Notamacropus eugenii: one gene and its partner. The protein of the gene in region 1 binds, or shares a complex with, the protein of each later gene. Links are inferred from orthologs where the notes say so. Each region holds a gene or a part of one and is shown in the gene's direction. Other genes may lie near its edges.

Region 1 (3,911 bases):
GATCATCAGTTAAATCATTCTAGGTTCAAAAATGCATTATTTTAGAACCTGGGTATTTACAGTTAGGACCCTTCTAGATAGTCACATATTATATACATGGGTTTTCTTTTCTTTCTGTTCTTGCTAAATTACCAAATATGTATGCATATGTTATAACACTAATCCTAAACCTTAACCTAACTTTCACCCTAACCCCCCCATGTTGACTGGACTTCTGTAGCAAATTTATGGGAAGAAAAGAGGTGAGGAGGGTGAGCAGGCATGAATGAGTTGAGATTTGCACCTCATTAGGGAGAGATCACTGACCCATTTGAGTGTCTGGGCATTCTTTCTCTACACTTACTTACTATCCCCTGAGATTGTGGACGTGGGATGTGGGATAATTTTTGCCTGAATTGGAAGGTCCATAGACAGGAAGGTGCTAGAAGCCCTCCAGCCTCCCTCATTATAATCGTACTGTTCTCTCAAGTCTGAAAGGTGGGAGAAAATGCTGAAAAGACCGTAGAAATGGGCATGGTCCTCTTTGTCAATAGGGAACAGTGACCATTGTGAAGGGGTTAAGAAACAAGACAACAGAAGAAGAGGGGGTTCAGGATGGCTTGGAGCAATCATTTTAATCCTCTCTTCTCCCCACACTTTACAAAAATCCCTTTTCCCACTCCAATCTCGGAAACGTAGCCCTCAGTGTAGCGCAGGGGCTTCCCGGGCTAGAGTTAAGCCCTCGAGTTTAGAAGCGAACATTTTCCCTCCAACAATACAGTTGGAGAAAATTAACATCAGTTGTTTGTTTGTTTTTTTTAAATTTTAAATCGAGCGCCTTGCCCTCTCAACCATTGTGCTTGGCACTGGAAGTGTAGATAAGGTTTGGCTCCCAGCCTCCTCCTCCTCGGATGACTTGAACTGGCAGAGAACTGCAGTGGTCAGTTTGGGATTCTGGTCAGGGGCTGAGCCCAGAACAGGTCCCTAGCCCGGGCGCCTAGCAGCCTTATTGTCTGAGTGAGCACCTGCCAGGTGGAGGCACCCGCCCCGATGGCTCATTAGCAGGTGGTGCCGGGCAGGGCAATGGCTTCACCAAGCACTCGGGCAAGGCAGTCCTAGTCCGGTAAACACCTCCGGCGTCCAGACCACAGCCCAGCCGAGGAAAGGTGAAGGCGGCTCCGGAGGACTGGAAGGGGGCGGGAGAAGGTGTCCAATCGTGACCTCCTCCCGGATCGGGAGTGCGCACGTCTAGAGAGAGGGAGCCGAGCGGGGGGCTGGCAGGGGTTAGAAGTGGGAGAGAGCCAGAGGAAGAGAGAGAGGGAGAGGGAGAGGAGGGGAGCCAGGAGGGGCGTGGCCGCCGCGCAGGGGGAGGGCGCTGGAGGAGGGGCTGCTCTCCTTGGCTATCCTCTGCTCGCCCGGCTCCCAGCTCCGGGGGCTTCGCTGGTGTGCCGCGCTGGGTGCATTTGGACTGCAGGAGGACCGCGGAGCTGAGCTCCGACCCCGAGCAGCTGCAGGATGAGCGGGGCTCCTGGTGCCTGGGATTTGCTGGGTCTCCTGATTCTGCTGAGCTTTCAGACAGGTGGGTTAGCTGCTACCTACACGCACCTTCTGCCCCCTCTTATTTTTCCTGGGAATGTTATCCACCTTGCAAAACCTGTGCTCCGGGGGAGCGTGTGAAGGTCCTGGCGGTTCTCGTGCGCCCCGGGTCCGGAGGGCTCTGGAGGGGTAGGCACGCATGAGACTTCCCTTTGGGTTTCCCGAGCCTTTTACTTGCGCTTAGGAGGGTGTACCTGCTCCCTTGGGCAGAAACAAAGCGTTTGGGCCGGGTGGAGCTGAGAGGGAGCCACCGGGAGTGAGTCTGGGCCAGAGGGGGCTGCGGGGGACGGACGCGGGGGTGCCTTTGGATTTCTTTTGTGTGGAGCTCGTGGGTGCGGAGGGCCGGGGGATGGATCGTGAAACTGGAGCTCTCCACGTTGGAAGGCGTTCGGCCGCAGCTTCCTTTTGTTGAAAGTTGTCTGCGGCCGGCGCGTCCGAGTCCAGCAGGTTCTGGGCTCGGTGGAAAGGGAAAGTTGGCCCTCCTGGGCTCTTTCCTGGCCTCCAGCCGCCTCTGCCTGCTGTGCAAAGCCTCGGGCACCCTTTGTGCCGGGGGAACGCGGGTGTGGAAGGACAGGGGACGGACTGAGGCAGACCCTTTGGTTCCTGCAGTCACCCACCGCGGTGGCCGGCGTACCTCCGGACCGTCCCCCTCTTCTGGCCTTTGGAAATGAACTGCACGCTCCTTTGGTGTTTAACCTTGGGAACCCGCAGCGTGCGGGTCTGGGGCTGCACATCCTGCGGCCAGAGGTGTCCATAAAGGAGGCTGCAGACTTAAAAATAATAATAATCCCGTCCCACTTCCTTGCTGGGGTGGCTGCAAGGCTCATTCATCCCTCCCGCCTTTCCTCCTTCCAGACGCGGTGGGAGGGGGCCGCTGGGTCCTGCGCTTTGGCTCCCGCGCGGGAGGAGGGAAGGCGCTGAGCCATTTACCCGGTGCGCTCCCCAACTTAAAGCGGCGCGCGCTCCCAGTGGAAGGACGAGGCACCGGCGCTGGGCTGCGGGAGGGACCTGCGGCCGGTGCCTCCTCGGCCCCCTGGATTCTTAGGATATCTAGGGATTCCCAAGAGGGAAACTGGCGCGCAGCAAGTGGGATAGTAGGAGGAGACGCCAAAAAGCACATTTTGATCTAGTATTAAAGGCGGATTCTAGGAAAGTCCCCATGCACCGACAGGCAGCGGTTTGGAACTTGGAGGGAACCTTGATCCCTCGATGCTGCAAATATCTATGGAGCGCCTGCTAATCTGCACCATCCTCTCCCTGCCTCTCCCCGCATTGGGTGGCCGTCTGGTGGTAAATGGTCCTTAGGACCCTAGTTCTTAAGAGTGTCCTTTAAAAAAATGCTCAAAAAAACCCATTCCTTCTCCAACAAAGAAGGTAACAGCTAAGTAACATATGTTGACCATTCCTGACCGTGATAAATGAGGCATTCCTCACCTATATTCCACCACCTCCCGGGAGAGGAGGGAGTTTTGCTTCCATTCCCTTTGTGCAACCTGAAAGATGAAAATAAAAGAGCTAAACGTGGGCTTTTAGTGTGTGAGGGTGAATGGAAAGCTTTGCTGCCCCCTCCGATCTGACTGAGGTCAGGAAAAGGGAATTCAGCCATTTACTCGCTATTGTGGGAATGAATGAAAACACCAGAGGCACTGGGTCGGAGTTTCCCTGCAACTTGTAAAAGCTTAGCGTGCCCGCTCAGATGTTTGTTTTTCGGCATTGTAAAGCTTTTCCTGTGGGGGGAGGAGAGACCTCGGCGCTCCGGACTCTTGTCCTCATCTGGACTGGGATGGAAACGCCGGACTGGGTTCCCTGACGCATTCGGAGCATCTAGCCTTAGCAGTTGAGCCCCCTCGGTGCCCTTGGAGAGGACAGCTAGATCTCAGCAGAGCTCTGCTGACAGCCAGCCAAGCCAGAACAGTGTCTATTTGGGGTCCTCTGTGAAGTCAATTTCCTCTCCTGCTTGATACTTTGCCTCTTTCAATATACTTTTTTGCATAGCGAATTTTTTTTTCCAGCCTCTCTTCGTCACCTGGGCTCAGAACTAATGTATGTCCTCTGATACACTTGATGTATACAGAGGCCCCCCCCCCCCAATTTTTTACCTGGTGCCTCAGACTCCCAACTCTACTCCAGCCTCTCTCCCTGCAGGGTTGGATCTCCTGGTGTTCTTTCCTTTAGGTGGTAAGAAAAGTGTGTGTGTGTGTGTGTGTGTGTGTGTGTGTGTGTGTGTGTGTGTGTGTGTGTGTGTGTGTGTGTGTGTGTGTCTCTGTCTCTGTGTGTGTGTGTGCATTGATGCAGCTTTCTACCCGAATTAATGTCAGAAGCAGGATGAAACTGCC
Region 2 (3,911 bases), on another chromosome or scaffold:
CTGAAGCATGGCCTATGCTTTCCAAGTCCATATCCCCAGTCATCATTAAAGTGCAGGAAGTGCTACTGGGTTTGGGGAGGTGATTAGAACATCTCTAGTAGTTTTTGAGTGGGATAGTGACAGGCAAAGATAAGAAGGCAGTATGATTCAGGCAAGGGGAACAGCCTAAACAAATGAATGGAGGGAGGAGATGGAGTACCAAGTGTGGGGAATAGATAATTGTATAATTTGGCTGGAATGTAGAGTTTGTGAAGTGAATTAATATGAAATAAAGCAGAAAATGTAGGTAGATACCAGATATTGGAAGGCTTTAAGTGCCAGGTTTATAAGTTAATATCTATTCTAGAAGTCAGAGGGAACCACTTAAGCTTTTGGAGCACATGGATGATATGACAAAATCTGTAATTTAAGAAAATAATTAAAGTGGAGGACAGATTGAAGGGTGTTGAATGGGAAGTCCAGAAGCAGGGAAATCATTTAGGAAGCTATTACGATAATTCGGGCAAGAGACAATAAGGATAAAAAAACAAGTTGATAATTATGGGAGGGAAGAGGATTGTAGTGAGAGATGTGGAAGATTTGATACAAGATTTGATAACTGAATATGGGGGATAAAATAGACAAGAACAAAGAATGCTTCCAAAATTACAAACATGGATGACTAGGAGGATGGTGGTGTCTTCAACAGAAGTAAAGAGGTTTAGAGGAGAGGAAAATTTAGAAGGGAGAAAATCATGAGTTTTATTTTTGACAAAGTGAATTGGAGATGACAAAGGGATATACAAGAGAAATATGTTCATCAAATAGCTATGCTCTCTCCCTCCTCGATATTTCTTGGGTCATACTTAATTTCTGTACATGTTGCATCACTTCTCTCACAATATGTTTCATGAGAGCAGGGATTATTTCATTTTTCTCGTGTTCCCAATGCCTAGAACAAAGCTTTGCCCACAGTATATGATTAATAAGTGTTTGTTGGATTGAATTTAATTGAAATATGTCACCAAAGTTCAGGAGAGTGATCAGAGCTAGATTTCAGAGTCATCTGCATACAGATGAGATGAGACATGATGAGATCATAAAGAGAGAAATTGTCAGAAAAGGATAGAAGTATGTCCAAGGCAAAACTCTGGGGGAAACCCTAGCCAAGAGGAAGAGATAGGTGATGGTCCAGTAAAGAAAACTTAGAAAGTTAAATAGGCAGGAGTAGAACAAACAGAGCAGTATCAAGGAAGCCAAGATAAGAAAGGACTCAAGAGGAGAGGAAGTAAACATTGACCAAAGCTGCATAGAGATAAAAAAACAATGGGGACTGAGAAGAAACCCTAGAATTGGCAACAAAGAAATCATTGGCAGACTTTGACAGAGCACTTCCATCATGATTAAGGTAGAAATAAGATTGTAAGGATCTGAAAAGTGATTGGTTGGTGAAAAAATGGTATAGGTAACTGGCTGTAGATGATTCAGATAAATGGCTTTATAAGCATCTTGTTTTCAAAGTTAATCTTTTGACTTATGTAGAATTCATGTCTTCTTCCAAAGTTGTCTTTTTCTTCTCTTTGGCTAAATCTTTCACTCCTGTTTTTGTTTTTAATTTTGTCTATTATTTTCTTCTTTCAGAATCTCTATTATTTGAGATAGTCTGCCGTGTTCTAAACTGTCTCCTCTGTGATTTTTTTGTTCATTTCTTCTTTAAGAACTCTTATTTCTGACCTAGTTACAATCATAATTTCATATTGAAATGCATTTTATGGTATGCATTCATATTAAATTCATATTAAAATGCATAAGTAACATTTCTATATTTTTACCAATAAAACTTTCAGAAGAGGGTGGTGTTTGTATCTTAAAACACTCATATGCTGAATATTAGGCAGAAAAGATATTGCCTCTGGATTCACTGCTCACCAATCATTTGAACTGGTTGTTGCATGTAAATAGAGCCTTCATCACTTGAAATATCTGTTTCTGATCCATCGTCTGATTCTAGTGGTCATTGCACAACAGACAGCTGGTCTGTACCACTTTAAGTCTACAGAAGTAAGTGTCCATCAGAATCAATTTGTCAATCAGGGAGTCCAACTAATTCACAATTGGCAGCAAATGATTGCAGTGAATTATTTTTACAGGACCTTTGCCAATCTCTAGTGATATTTTGTAAACAGGAAAGTCTTCCCACAATTAAGTATGGAGTAATTTCCATCAGTCTGTTAACTTGTGTATCCCATGAACATCAAGGTTTCTTAGCAGAACTCTGTCATCATGTTGAATGTCTTGACAGTGAACATGGACATGATATTGTCATTTATTTCCCTCAGCATCCTTCTGAGTTAAGATTGTAGCTAGAAAGCAAGGTTCTTTCAGCTACTCTCATTTAAGAGGTCATGAATATCTGTAGCATCTCCTTTCTCAGAGACTTGTTGCTCAGTCGTTTTTCAGTTGTGTCAGATTTTTCATGATCCCATTTGGTGTTTTCTTAGCAAAAATATTGGAGTGATTTGTCATTTCCTTCTTTAACTCATTTTACAGATGAAGAAATTATGGCAAATGGGTTAAATGATTTGTCCAGGGTCACACAGCCAATTAAGTGTCTGAGGTCAGATTTGAACTCATTAAGAGTGCTGGACTTTTTGTCAGGGAGACCTGAATTCAAATCTGACCTCAGACACTTAATTAGCTGTGTAATCCTGGGCAAGTCACTTAACCTCTTTCAGTCTGAATTTCCCCATCTGTAAAATGGAGATAATAATTGAGTTTACCTTGAAGTATTGTTGCTATTGTGATGATGATGCTGATGCTGTCAGTGTCCCTAACATTTTTATTAGAGTGTTATTAAAATCCTCAGGTTGTGAGTCTACTTTAGGGTGGTAAAGTGTCATTCTAGACTTCTTGATAGCAAAGACAACAACTTCTTGATAAGTATATTTCCAAAGTCCTTATGGACCCTAGTAGAAAGTTCATACATAAAGAAGTGTTTTTCCATAGTACCTTAGCTACTTTGGAAGCTTTCTGTTTTCTGGTTGGCTGTAACTTTGCATATCTAATGAAATGGTTAGTCATTACCAATATATGACTTATGTTCTTGCTATCGCTTTCCAAAGATAGTTTGTCAATGTAGGGAAGTTTCAAAGGTTTACTAATATTTATATTCTGCAAATATGCAGCAAGAGTTGGCAATAATTTTCTTTGAACACGTCTTATACCTCTTGGGGATACCTGAAGTCATTTTTAGGTGAGCAAAGTCGGTTTCTTAGTAGCTCTCAAATCCTTTCTTGTCCTATATGTCTAAGTCATCATGAGAAGTTTTTGCAGTCATAGAAATATGAATTTGATAGCACCAACTACTTCCTGGTGCTCTGTATGTGAATATTGATCATCCAATCCAGTACTGCATTGCATCCTTCCAATTTTTGCCATTACCTCAACAGTACAATGTCTTCAACTGACTGGTTCTGACTTTATGGACCTGCTTCTTGGTTCATATGACTTTATATATTCATTTATCAGCCTTTTGCTCTCTTCGCTAACCATTTGTTCTCTTTGCCACAATCAACTAAGGCAAAAAACGTTGGTTAAATGCAGTAAAATTCATGTATGCTGCTGGCATGCAGTCTAATGGAAGCCCCAAACTTTTGTTTCTACTTACAGTTGCTTGTATATAGTCGAGTTCTTTGGGTATCACATATAGCTTTTACTATTTCTATTGGTTTCACCAAGGCTTTGCTGTTTTGTGACTTTCTAGATGGGAGATCTGCATCCACATTGGTCCCTGGTTGGTAGTGAATGCTCAAGTCAAAGTTGAATCCATTTCTGGCAAACAGCATCCAATGAGGCACTGGTCAAAATATATCAATAGAATGCTATCTTTCCCCATTTGTAACTATGCTTCATATATAATGTCTGAATTTCCC

Evidence for each region.
Region 2: the proteins of KIT (region 1) and SOCS6 are in contact, whole or in part, in a crystal structure (PDB 2VIF), measured with the Homo sapiens proteins. The link is inferred for Notamacropus eugenii from reciprocal best matches to the Homo sapiens genes KIT and SOCS6. Residues at the interface, in NP_000213.1 of Homo sapiens: Asn566, Asn567, Tyr568, Val569, Tyr570, Ile571, Asp572, Pro573, Thr574; in NP_004223.2 of Homo sapiens: Arg391, Glu395, Arg409, Asp410, Ser411, Ser412, Asp413, Ser419, Phe422, Thr428, Leu429, His430, Thr431, Arg432, Phe442, Tyr443, Glu444, Gln445, Val448, His460, Asp464, Ala469, Phe470, Cys471, Tyr472, Ser473, Arg474, Ser475, Arg476, Thr482.

The regions. Positions count from the first base shown.
Region 1 is NC_092877.1:106,137,090-106,141,000, forward strand, and holds the start of KIT (mast/stem cell growth factor receptor Kit), read left to right. Parts: upstream 1-1,365; 5' UTR 1,366-1,494; coding exon 1,495-1,558; intron 1,559-3,911. UniProt on the Homo sapiens protein: Tyrosine-protein kinase that acts as a cell-surface receptor for the cytokine KITLG/SCF and plays an essential role in the regulation of cell survival and proliferation, hematopoiesis, stem cell maintenance, gametogenesis, mast cell development, migration and function, and in melanogenesis.
Region 2 is NC_092875.1:216,251,793-216,255,703, reverse strand, and holds the start of SOCS6 (suppressor of cytokine signaling 6), read left to right. Parts: upstream 1-1,139; 5' UTR 1,140-1,387; intron 1,388-3,911. UniProt on the Homo sapiens protein: SOCS family proteins form part of a classical negative feedback system that regulates cytokine signal transduction.